Saccharomyces cerevisiae S288C: one gene and its partner. The protein of the gene in region 1 interacts with the protein of each later gene in a biochemical or structural test. Each region holds a gene or a part of one and is shown in the gene's direction. Other genes may lie near its edges. The genes, in order: RTT105 and RFA3.

Region 1 (2,787 bases):
AGAAATCGCAGAAGGAGCACAACGTCTTGATCTTTGATTTAGGTGGTGGTACTTTTGATGTCTCTCTGCTATCCATAGATGAAGGTGTCTTTGAGGTTAAGGCTACTGCTGGTGACACTCACTTGGGTGGTGAAGATTTCGATAGTAGGCTGGTTAACTTTCTAGCCGAGGAGTTCAAAAGAAAAAATAAAAAGGATCTAACAACTAACCAAAGGTCCCTAAGGAGGTTAAGGACCGCCGCTGAAAGGGCCAAGAGAACTCTGTCTTCGTCTGCTCAGACATCTATAGAAATAGATTCATTATTTGAGGGTATCGATTTCTATACTTCCATTACAAGGGCAAGATTTGAAGAATTATGTGCTGATTTGTTTAGATCTACATTGGAGCCAGTGGAAAAAGTTTTGGCTGATTCAAAATTAGATAAGTCACAAATTGATGAAATTGTACTTGTTGGTGGTTCAACAAGAATTCCAAAAGTACAAAAACTGGTTTCTGATTTTTTCAATGGTAAAGAACCAAACCGTTCGATTAACCCTGATGAGGCCGTCGCTTATGGTGCTGCCGTACAGGCTGCCATCTTAACGGGTGACCAGTCGTCGACGACCCAAGATTTACTGTTGCTGGATGTTGCACCATTATCTCTAGGTATTGAAACTGCAGGTGGTATTATGACAAAGTTGATCCCAAGAAATTCGACTATCCCAACAAAAAAATCGGAAGTGTTTTCCACCTACGCTGACAACCAACCTGGTGTGTTGATACAAGTTTTTGAGGGTGAAAGGACAAGGACAAAAGACAACAATCTACTGGGTAAATTTGAGTTGAGCGGTATTCCACCCGCTCCAAGAGGCGTACCACAAATTGAAGTTACATTTGATATCGATGCAAATGGTATTCTGAACGTATCTGCCGTTGAAAAAGGTACTGGTAAATCTAACAAGATTACAATTACTAACGATAAGGGAAGATTATCGAAGGAAGATATCGATAAAATGGTTGCTGAGGCAGAAAAGTTCAAGGCCGAAGATGAACAAGAAGCTCAACGTGTTCAAGCTAAGAATCAGCTAGAATCGTACGCGTTTACTTTGAAAAATTCTGTGAGCGAAAATAACTTCAAGGAGAAGGTGGGTGAAGAGGATGCCAGGAAATTGGAAGCCGCCGCCCAAGATGCTATAAATTGGTTAGATGCTTCGCAAGCGGCCTCCACCGAGGAATACAAGGAAAGGCAAAAGGAACTAGAAGGTGTTGCAAACCCCATTATGAGTAAATTTTACGGAGCTGCAGGTGGTGCCCCAGGAGCAGGCCCAGTTCCGGGTGCTGGAGCAGGCCCCACTGGAGCACCAGACAACGGCCCAACGGTTGAAGAGGTTGATTAGATAAATACAAAGATGCGATGAAGTAGCAGCATCGAATTTCTTAGTTTTCCCTCTTAACAACTTTTTATAAGTATATATATAAGATACACAATCAGTAATTAGCAAATGACTACTATTTGTACGTTCTCATCGTCATAAGCCAGAGTTTAATTAAGTGCCTCAACCGGGATGCGATTTCGCGTTCATATACAAAGCCGAAATGACAATAAGAAAGTCATCGCCAAACAACACGACTAATTGACCATTAAAAGGAACAAAATACAGTCAAAGAGTTTAGCTCGGAAATGTACAGCAATCATAATTTAAATTCGGATGACTGTTGCTTCGATTGGAATGAAGAGAAGGCCGCAGAACTACAGCGTACAGGTGTTTCTTTTGACCGGAGTTTAACACCTCAATCTTTAAGAACATCTACACGTAGACTATCAGAAGAGAACAAACAACAAAGTGGCACTATGCACATTGACACTTCCCCTTCTGTGGTTTCAGATATAATATCAAGTAGACGAGATCGTTCACAGGATTTTTTTGGGCCTCATTCTTCATCCCCTATTGCCCCTTCAGAACGACAACGAGCGGATCAGAGATCACGGTTGGAGTCCATGAGATTAACTAGACGTCGAGACAAAATGACCAAAGTACGCGGTGGCCTAGAAAAGATGGAAGAAATGATCATGCAAGGTGAACACCTTAGAGAAATGCAAAGGCTAAAGCAGGAAGCACAAAAGAACGCTCTACCCTCTGACATGGCTGAATATATGGAATGGCAAAACAACGAGGATTTGGAAGACGATGAGTTGCTTGCCTTTATTGAAAAACAGGAAACTTATAAAAATGAATTAGAACACTTTTTGAACAATGCTAATAAAAATGTTTATGAGAACAACTCGTATCCGAACTCTCATACGTGATGGCATCATTGCTATTACAGAAATAGCCCTAGCCTGTCATATTTAACTGAGCTGTTGAGTATGGGCATCTTTCCGCATGCGCTAACTACGGAGCTGGCTCTTCCCCTTCTATTAATCCTTCTGGCAGGAAGCGAAAGCGACTGATGTCGTTTCTACGTTTCTATGTATATTCTATCGCGTTTAAGTGTGTATATTTTGAGCTGCTCAAGTGAAGGGAACGTATTCAGAATAACTAGATTCTCTGCCATACGATCAACTAACTGTTTACCATATACAGTCTCAGTTCGCTACGGTTAGCGTACCGTAAAACAGCAGTTTACATTCACTATATAAAGGATGACGTAAGAATTTGCCTACGTATTAAAGAAAACTTCACAATCAAACTGCTAAAATATACAAATAATTCCGTTCATTTCAGGCCATGATGACGATCCTTCACATAATCTTGAACGGGATCGGTATTCGGATCATATTTCTCCAATTTTTTGATTTGTTCTGGC
Region 2 (10,295 bases), on another chromosome or scaffold:
AAACAATTTGATCATGAAAACATTAAACAATGTGCTAAAGACATCGTGAAAATCCTAACTACAAAGGAACTTAAAAAAGATTCTTCAAGAGCGCCGCCTGATGACTTAACCAAAGGAAAAAGGCATAAAGTTAAAGAATTCATAAATTCATACATGGATAAGATTATCCTCAAGAAGAAGCAAAAAAAGGCGTTGGCATTATCATCAGCATCAACAAGGATGTCTTCTCCTCCACCTTCAACATCATCATAATTAACCAGACATGCATATTTGGGGCTTGTTTCACGTTTTCTGTCCCAAAGGAAGTCTTGTACTTTAATTGTAATTGCGATTTGTAATAAGTAATTTTTTTTGTCTTTACCGTTTATTTCTTTATACATTTTTGGTGCATATATTTAAATATCCGCATTAGTGGGCTATCAGTAGCACTGTAATGATAGGTAATGTGACACATCTTCTCGACAGATATTATTCTTGAAAAAATCGTGCGTTTCAAGTGTCTTTATTTTTTTGCTGTCAATAGAAGTGTTGAAATGACTTTGAAACGTAATTACCGCATCGGGAAATTTACATGTTAACTGCAATGAAAACAAGGAATATACGGGGAACATATAAAGGGTCAGCGTCGTTGACTAGTCTGTCATTTATATTGTGCTTGTACATAGGACTACAAAAATTCAAAGAATGACGACAAGAAACATGACTACTTTAGCATCAAGTATTGAGCATAAAACAAAACATCTAGCCGCGCCCTTCGAGAACGATGAGAACCCTTGGATGAAAAAATACTGTTGCCAATGCAAATCATGTAAAATGAGTGTGCCTGTCCAACCTTGGCTGCCAAGGTTTTTTGTTTTTGGAATCTTGTGCCCCGTTTTCTGGTTGGTGAATCTTTTAGCCTGGTGGTTCTTACAGTATTGGCAACCACATGAATTGGAATTCCACGACTTGCAAGAAGACGAATACCCAGGATTTTATGAATATGAAGCCATAACTAAAAGAACGGTGATACCCATAAAGGAAGAAGTCCTCCAAGAGATTCGCGTCATGCAGAATTTCAGTGATAGCAACAGCGAAGAATATTACGAGAGCAAAGACGGTATGCCGTCGTCTTTCCTAAACGTGAACACGGAACAAGTCGAGGACGAGAATGACACCTTGAAAAAATATCGTTACGCGTTTTTGAAGAAGGTAGCCCACGATGTGCTGGAGTCGCACGATTTATTACGTAAGACCTTCCGCGACTGGAATTTACGGTCTTTGCTTGGCCTCCTCATCGATTCTATACTCATAATATTTGTAGTTCTCCTATGTAAGAAAAGCCGTTAGGTAGATCTAAAGACAGAAAATGATATCAGCCTCTTTCTTTTCCACAGCCTCCATTTCCCATTTTTGCTGTATCTGCAAGGGTTCCTTTTTCCATTTTTTTTTTTCAAAGTCTTGGCTCCGCCCTTTTCTTTTGTCTATTTTGCCGAGCTTAGGTTATTTATAAACCTGAAAATCCTCGAGAAACAATCCTTATCGAAGGAAGCAGCCATAATAGAACATACTCAAGTGCAAACATTACAAGCTTAAATAAGACAAATGTTACAGAGTATAGTCCTTTCCGTGTGCATGTTTATGTTGCACACAGTCGCTGCCAGTGGACCTCAGTCGTACCAAAAGTTGGATTTCACTAATGTTGGTTTTACAGGCTCCTACGTAGATGTGAATAAGTTTAAAGATATCACCAACAATGAATCGTGTACTTGCGAAGTGGGTGACAGAGTATGGTTTAGTGGTAAGAACGCTCCACTAGCAGACTATTTATCCGTTCATTTCCGTGGACCATTGAAGTTGAAACAATTTGCTTTTTACACATCCCCTGGATTTACCGTCAACAACAGCAGAAGTTCTTCTGATTGGAACCGTCTTGCCTACTATGAGTCCAGTTCCAAAACCGCTGATAACGTTACCTTTCTAAATCATGGAGGTGAAGCTTCCCCTTGTTTAGGAAATGCTTTGTCCTACGCTAGTTCTAACGGTACTGGCAGCGCCAGTGAAGCTACCGTTTTGGCAGATGGCACTTTGATTTCTTCAGATCAAGAATACATAATCTATTCGAATGTCTCATGTCCAAAATCAGGTTATGATAAGGGTTGTGGGGTTTACCGTAGTGGCATTCCAGCTTACTATGGGTACGGAGGTACAACAAAGATGTTTTTGTTTGAATTCGAAATGCCTACTGAAACTGAGAAAAATAGCAGCTCTATTGGGTACTATGACTTGCCTGCTATTTGGTTGCTAAACGATCACATTGCAAGGACTTCTCAATATCCAACCAATGCCAACTGTTCATGTTGGGCTAGTGGATGTGGGGAATACGATATTTTTGAAGCTATGAATGGTACGGAGAAAAACCATCTCTATTCTACTTTCCACACTTTCCAAGGTATCGAGGATTTGGGTACTGGTATCCAATCTTACGGATACATAACAAGAAATACTACTGGAACGATGAAAGGTGGTGTTGTTTTCGATTCTAGTGGAAATGTCGTTTCTTTCATATCTGATGCCACTCCATTCAATGGAACTGTTTCTGCTGATACTGTTAACGATTTATTGGCTGCAATTCCAGAAAACGAAACCTATTCTTCTCAATTGATGAGCATTTCTGCTACTGCGCCTTCGACCACCTCGAAGTCGAATGGTGTTGCTTTAACGAAGATGCAAAACGGTGTATGGTATTATATTTTGGCCATATTCACTGCCTTTACGCAAGTGGTTTTGATTTGATTTAAGTCATTGTATGGTCATATTATCATCATCATTTAAATTTTGATTTGACACTTGATTTGACACTTCTTTTTTTTTTTATTTATGTTTTGTTTAACTGACGGTGTTTTTTTTTTTACGTTATACTGATACATATATAGACGTGATTTATTTAAATAAAAAGTTCTATGAAAAAAAAAAAAAATTAAAAAAAAAAAATTAAAAAAAAAAAATCTTTGACTATTCAATCATTGCGCTTAAGCGTATTCGTTAACATTAACGATATACTCGTAAACAAAGGCAATGGCAGATAAATGACCTGGGACATCCACGTGTTCATTAACCGAATGCAATGTCTTCAGTAAATCAATATCAATGATAGAGCCAACAAACCTATAAATGTTCTTGGACAAATTCCAGTAGTATTTAGTATCGGTGTTACCAGAGAATAAACCAGTAGTCACATAGAACTCTTCGTTGTTTTGTAGAACACCGTTTTCAAAAACATCTTGAATAGTACCTGCCAAAATGTCCCAAACAGGGCCTGAACTTGGCGAAAGTGGTGCTGGTTCCAATTCTCTCAAGAGAGTAATGTCAATGTGACCTAACTCGGTTTCAGGGATAATGTAATCGTCACCGTTCTTAGATAAACCATAGCCATACTTCTCAGCAATCTTTTTCGCATATTCTATGTTTCTTTCAAAGACTTCAGCCACAGAAGAATGTAAATTAATTCTGTGATTGATCAAGAATCTGGTAGTTTCGGGCAGAGCATTAGCTTTAACACCACCATTGATGATATCAACAGCTTGTGTTGTTCTTATTAAGCTGCGCAAATGTGATTGGTTGGAAATGTACTCAACAAGCTTGTCCTTCCTTCTAGGACAGAATGGTGCGCCCAAAATTGTCTTCTTCACATCCTTACTTAAAGATTTAGAATGTTCAGCAGCACATGTCAACAATCCATAGATTGGATTGTCAAACTCAAATTCGTAGTCAAATGGGTTGGCTTCAAATTCAGTAATCAGTTCTGAAGCGATACCGATTGTGGTATGATCAGGTGGGACAGAGGAATGACCACCATGGCCTAGAATACTGACTTCGAAGTCGACATAGCCTTTTTCAGCGTTGATTGGAGTGGCAACAAAGACATCCTTGTCGACTTCCATGATACCTTCACCCTCGTCAATGATACTGTAAATACCATCATCACCATATCTTTCGTGAAGAAATGAGGCTAAGCTGGCAGCACCGAGGGTGCCGCTTGCTTCTTCATCAAAACCAAGCGACATAACAATAGTTCTGTTGGGCTTGAATCCATCTATCAACAGTTGTTCGATAGCTTCAAACTCGGCAATTAACAAGTTCTTACAATCGTTAGAACCACGCCCCCAAACAAAATCTGTTTCTGGATCATAGTGACCAGAAAATGGAGGGAACTTCCAGGATGATAAAGTTTCGTTGTTTACAGGTACAACATCTTGATGGGCCATTAACAATAATGGTTTTAGATCAGGATCAGAACCTTCCCATGTGTATAGAAGACCCAGCTCATTGACTTTCTCCAATTTCAAATGCTTGTGAATATTAGGGAAAGTCTTCTCAAAATAGTCGTGTAGTTCATAAAAATGCTTATAGAAATCCGGATCATCTGCGGGGTTGGGGTTTTTGTCTTGGACTACAGTGGGGATTCTAACAGCATTGGACAGTTTCTCAATGGAGCTGTTTCTAAAGGCAGGGTCATGAAGAATTGTGTCGACGGAATGTTTGAATGATGGACTTAATGGTTCAATCTTCTCACATTTGGGTGAGTGCATGGGACCTTTTCCATGGTGTGGACGCTTTGCCTCATGAGGTGGTGCTGGGTGGAGACCCGAAGTGAGGAAGAAGGTGCCGATGATAATAAGGGCAACTATTCCACTAATAAAGGCTCTGTGCCTTTGCCATAGGGACTTTCTAGGGGCCTTCTCTACTGGTAAGGCGATCATAATGTAATTGTTAGATGAATGATTCCTTAATGTGATGATGCAGGATTAGTTTTACAATGGGAAGAGACGTATTTGGGGTACCCGTTTCTTTTATATGTCATAAACTTTCTTGCCCGACCTTGGAAGGCTGTATCGTATTTTGCCCAAAGGGGAAAATAAAAGGCCGCTATGATAAGATAAGGGTGGCGAGGCTGAGATAACAAGAAGATGTTCTGAGCATTGAGCATTTAGGATAACAGTGCACAAGATCACGCGGTTCAATTCGTCACGTAAAGCTACTAGAAGTGGGTGTTTCTAGTAGCCTGCAAAAAGCGTCGTTCTAAAGAAACTTTTTTCAATGACACATTTACTGAAAATAGAAAAAGACTATCTATTCGTAGCTGATTTTCAAAATCCGTATGGGAAATCAGAGGTTATGGAACTGACAACGTCGTAGGAACAAGCGATATGCAAATCCCGGTGTCGCTTTGTTTGTGTATCGCTAAAAGCTTATATGCAATACTCGCGAAGGTACTATAATCCCTTGGACTAGGTCATCCCAATTCTTTGTCTTTATCAGTAAACTCTTATCTTACCTTTGGTCTCAAACTGGTATTTTATTTGCTGAATATTAACTACCACTAGGGATTACTCGTAAAATTATGAAAAAAGTACCATATGAACTCCAATAACGGTAAGTGATCAATAGGGAACAGCAAGTCTCTTCTTCTTTGCAACGTCAAGATTGATCCTATGCTTTCATAATTTCCCTACATGATGGCAGTCATACTCCAATTAAGTGCTACAAGAAAGAGGCCTTCGCAACAACTGTGTCAACGCTTGCAAGTGCTAAATTGTACTACAGCACCAGTGGTATCTCCTATAGTCAGTTACATAGTAAAATATTCAGAGGTCCATTACATAAATATATATATATATGTAGAGGCATCCATCCATGTTTGTCGATGCAGCTGCAAGCACCCAACAAGAACAGATGACAGCCAACAGTCGTTGACTAACGTAATGGGCCACTGCTGAGAAGCATCCACCGCCCATGCCATGGTTGGAATCATGACAAGTCGCCCTATATAATGCCTTCGTTCTTTAATATTGACGCGCCAAATGTGGCAATACGCGATATTTTTTTCGTTCGTGTTTAAATAAAGAGCAATATAACACACCCTTCACCATTCTTGTAGAACATCGTCTACCAGTAACACAAGTAAAAATGGCCAGCGAAACACCAAGAGTTGACCCCACAGAAATCTCCAACGTCAATGCTCCTGTGTTTAGGATAATAGCGCAAATCAAATCACAACCCACTGAATCTCAGTTGATTTTACAATCGCCAACCATATCATCGAAAAACGGCAGCGAGGTTGAAATGATTACGTTGAACAATATTCGTGTATCTATGAATAAAACATTTGAGATCGACTCGTGGTATGAGTTTGTTTGCAGGAACAATGATGACGGCGAGCTAGGATTTTTGATTCTAGACGCTGTACTATGCAAATTCAAGGAGAACGAAGATTTAAGCTTAAACGGTGTGGTTGCTTTACAGAGACTATGTAAGAAATACCCAGAAATATACTAGCTAAAATCGCTTTTATTCTTACCTTTATGTACTGTTGCCTCTATATGTCTTCCCTTCATATAATAAATTCCATTTCTAAAAAAATTGTAGTTGTGTTTATAGATGTATAGATAGATAAATGAATGTGTACTTGCTGCCTTAACGCCTTCCGCTAAAAACTTTTTGATATTTATTTTATTTTTAACCTTTCCTGACTTCAACCCTTACTGTAATGATGATAGTAGAAGCCGTCTATTTTTCATACTTTTCTCATGTTGATTTTCCTTGCAGACAAAGACAATCTCTTGGATGGTTTGTACCAACCACCATTATCTGAAGGCATAGATGCAGGAGTAGCGTAGTTTACTCCCGATGATATCGTATAAGACCAGCCAGGAGTTATCGTAGTTGCTTGCTCTGGCAATGACCCAAAGGTAGAGTAATATGTCACAGCACTAGTGGCAAATTTCCTTGTCCATGTGGTAGCGGTCACTTTAGTATTTGGCTGCATTTGCATTGGAGCGAAACGCGACGTACCAGTCTGCTTGGTGTACGGAACAGTAAATGAACGACTGTCAATAGTAGTGGCTTGGGCGTTGTTTGTAGTGGTTGTTTGAATAGAAGTCTGGGGAGTAGGTTCAGTTGTGGCACTATATGTATAAGCCGTAACACCGCCCATGGAAGTCAACTGGAATCTTGGTGTATAATGGATAGTGTAACCTTGACCGTCCACCTGGGCAAAAACTTGAATGTAATATTGACCGTTCCCAGTTAAGGTCGAAGCAAACTCAGCTGTGTAAGAGTAAACTTTATCATCTTGTGTTAGCTCACTTGGAGTAATTTTACTGGCAAGTACGGCCACACAGTCAATGTTGTTATTAGGACCAGTACAAAGACTGAACGTGAAAGTTGAAATCTTGCTTAACGAGGGATATGCCCCATTATCCATCCATTCAACGGGAACAGAGACAGTACCACCACTTGGACTGAATGTTGCCTTGGAGCTGGGGGAAACAATATTCACATCTCCCAGCACAAATGAGACTAAAAACACCAAAGCACATATGATGGAATTTCTTTGTAAACGCATTATCTATAATATGTCACAGTTGCTGATTCTCTGAGAAGGAAGTAAAAAGCGAAAGAGTAGATTCCTAGTAATCAAAACAAAGTGTGAACTGCCACTTTTAGCGCTTCTTGGAACTATCAAACTGGAGCAAATCTGGCTTCAAGAATGCTTTGAGACTCCTGTTCTATTCCTGTATTATCCTTGAAGATCTTTTTCGAGGAAAAAAAAAAAGAAATGTAAATAAAACACCTAATCGTCAAAAGTGATATTATATTGAACCGCCGTGGTTACGATGGAATAATGGTCAATACGCAGTTTAGATGGCATCCAACAATTCAGGATGGCCAATGATGTTATTTTAGTTTGAATTGATTACTTTTGAGCTAGTTTAAATTCGATTTAAGAGCCATTAAGTAGGCATCACGAATAACGAGGCCGGACGTTTGGCGTTTAGGCCATTGGCGAAAAGACGAAAACAAACTATATCAGATACGCAAGAGGAATGTGTAAAGGCCATGCAAGGCGCGATATATTGGTACATCGAGGCGCGTTCAGAGACCAATTGTGATACGGTTTGCAAGCATGGAGAATACACTGGGTGAGGGGTCCACGGTAAACGCTTCCGTGGACGTGGACCAACATGGCAATGACAACAATAGTGATAGCAACGCTAATGCAGCTGTGGCAGGGGTTGCCAATACAGATACTGCTGGTGAAGAATCGCAGCAACAAGATGAGTCTCTGAAGGATGAAGCAACTGTTCCGAACACACGCGATGCAGAAAGTGAGGCGATAACGGTAACGGCAAAGCAGCAGCCGACTATGCAAGCGAATAAGCTAGATTCCCAGGAAACACCTTCTACAGAAGAAAGCAGGGCCCAGAACGTCTTTGGCCAAGATAATGAGGATAGTGATAATCTCTTTGGCGAAACCGAGAGTTCTGTTTCGAACAATGAGGCAAACACTCCTAGTATACCTACGAACCCGGTAGACAATGAAAACAATAAGCCTGCTATTAAGGAAGACAGCACAATACAGGATTCAAATGGTGACGTTAAAAACATGGAGGACGTCAAAATACAAAAAGAGGAAGAACCAGAGAATAACACTGTTATTGAAGGTGTCAAAGAAGAAAGTCAGCCAGATGAGAACACAAAGGAAATGGATGAAGTGGAAGAAGATGATGAGGATGACGATCAACCGATGATTAGTCCTGATAATTCCATTTTTGGAGACACAAAGAGTGAGTCTAAACAACTAGGCAACACTTCGTCGGTTGCTAATACTCCATCTGAAATTCCAGATGCGCATAAAGCTGAACAGGAGGATATCATAGAAAAGACGGAAAGTGTAGATAAGAAGGTAGATAGTGGCGAAGAGAGAAACGAACAGGAACGTGAAATCATGAACGATCACTCCAAAAGTGCCAATCCAAAGAAAACCACTATCACCAGAGTAGAACCCGAAACTTTTGAGATACCGCAAGCACATGAAATTGTTATTCCAAGTTATTCTAAATGGTTCAATCTAGAAAAAATTCATTCCATTGAAGTTCAATCGTTACCTGAATTTTTCACCAATAGGATTCCATCAAAGACACCTGAAGTTTACATGAGATACAGAAACTTCATGGTAAATTCTTACAGGCTGAACCCCAACGAATATTTCAGTGTCACTACGGCGAGGAGAAACGTCTCTGGTGATGCTGCTGCATTATTCAGATTGCATAAATTCTTAACAAAATGGGGGCTAATAAACTATCAGGTTGACTCCAAACTATTACCTAAGAACATCGAACCCCCACTAACGTCTCAATATTCCACAAGGCATGATGCCCCCAGAGGACTATTCCCATTCGAAAGTTACAAACCATCTGTACAACTGCCGGATATGGCAAAGCTTAAAAAAATGATGAACACTAGTGATTCGGAGAGTACTTTATATAAATATTTGAAAGAAAGCAAAAGAAAATATGATGAAATAACTCACCCCCCCAGTACCACTGATGATGAAAATGGTGACAAAAATGATAATGGTGGTAAAATGAACAATGAAGTAAGTACGTCAACAAGCATGACTGGTGATGCCAATCTATTGGAAGAAGGCGAAACTTCACGTCCTCTGAAAAAAGTCAAAATTCTAGAACAAATTGATGAAAATTGGTCAAAAGAAGATTTGCAAAAGCTATTAAAGGGAATACAAGAATTCGGCGCTGACTGGTACAAAGTGGCCAAAAACGTTGGCAATAAGTCGCCTGAACAGTGTATCTTACGTTTCCTTCAATTGCCCATTGAAGATAAATTTTTATACGGTGACGGCAATGGCAAGGGTGATAATGACAACGGGTTAGGACCTTTGAAATATGCTCCTCACTTGCCATTTTCGAAGAGCGAAAACCCCGTTTTATCAACAATAGCATTCTTGGTGGGTTTGGTCAATCCGAAGACTGTACAGTCGATGACCCAGAGAGCCATTCAGTCCGCAGAATCAATAAAATCACAAAAAGAGGAAATCTCTGACCAAAAGCCAATTGAACATATTAAAGAAGGTTCAGAAATTGCCATATCATCATTGGGTTATAGGAGTCATATTTTCGCTACCAACGAGGAAAGGCAAATGAATTTTTTGACTAACGAGCTAATAAGACTTCAAATGGAAAAATTGGACGCTAAATTAAATCATTTAAAGAAACTAGAAAAATTTATGGAGCTAGAAAGGAAAACCCTAGAAAGACAACAGGAAAACTTACTAATTCAGAGATTGAACTTCAACCAAAACTCCAGCAAGATTGTAAACGTTTTAAGCAAATGCTTGAATTTAATATCCGACAGCAATATCAATAATAGTTCAGTGGCGGAGAAGGAGGAAATCAGGTCGCAGATAGACCATTTCAAAAGTATGCTATCGAAACCTGAAACTTTAAGTATTG

Evidence for each region.
Region 2: the proteins of RTT105 (region 1) and RFA3 form a complex in vitro, tested with the Saccharomyces cerevisiae proteins (3 studies listed by BioGRID).

What each region holds. Positions count from the first base shown.
Region 1 is NC_001137.3:365,142-367,928, forward strand, and holds RTT105 (Rtt105p), read left to right. Parts: upstream 1-1,660; coding exon 1,661-2,287; downstream 2,288-2,787. Other genes in the region: Hsp70 family chaperone SSA4, read left to right, coding at 1-1,376; NUP157 (Nup157p), read right to left, coding at 2,697-2,787. UniProt on the Saccharomyces cerevisiae protein: Involved in regulation of Ty1 transposition. Inhibits Ty1 transposition at a post-transcriptional and pre-integrational stage of the Ty1 retrotransposition cycle.
Region 2 is NC_001142.9:92,184-102,478, reverse strand, and holds RFA3 (Rfa3p), read left to right. Parts: upstream 1-5,949; coding exon 5,950-6,318; downstream 6,319-10,295. Other genes in the region: histone methyltransferase SET2, read left to right, coding at 1-252; ASG7 (Asg7p), read left to right, coding at 700-1,329; TOH1 (Toh1p), read left to right, coding at 1,585-2,775; CPS1 (Gly-Xaa carboxypeptidase), read right to left, coding at 3,012-4,742; KRE9 (Kre9p), read right to left, coding at 6,557-7,387; SWI3 (Swi3p), read left to right, coding at 7,949-10,295. UniProt on the Saccharomyces cerevisiae protein: As part of the replication protein A (RPA/RP-A), a single-stranded DNA-binding heterotrimeric complex, may play an essential role in DNA replication, recombination and repair.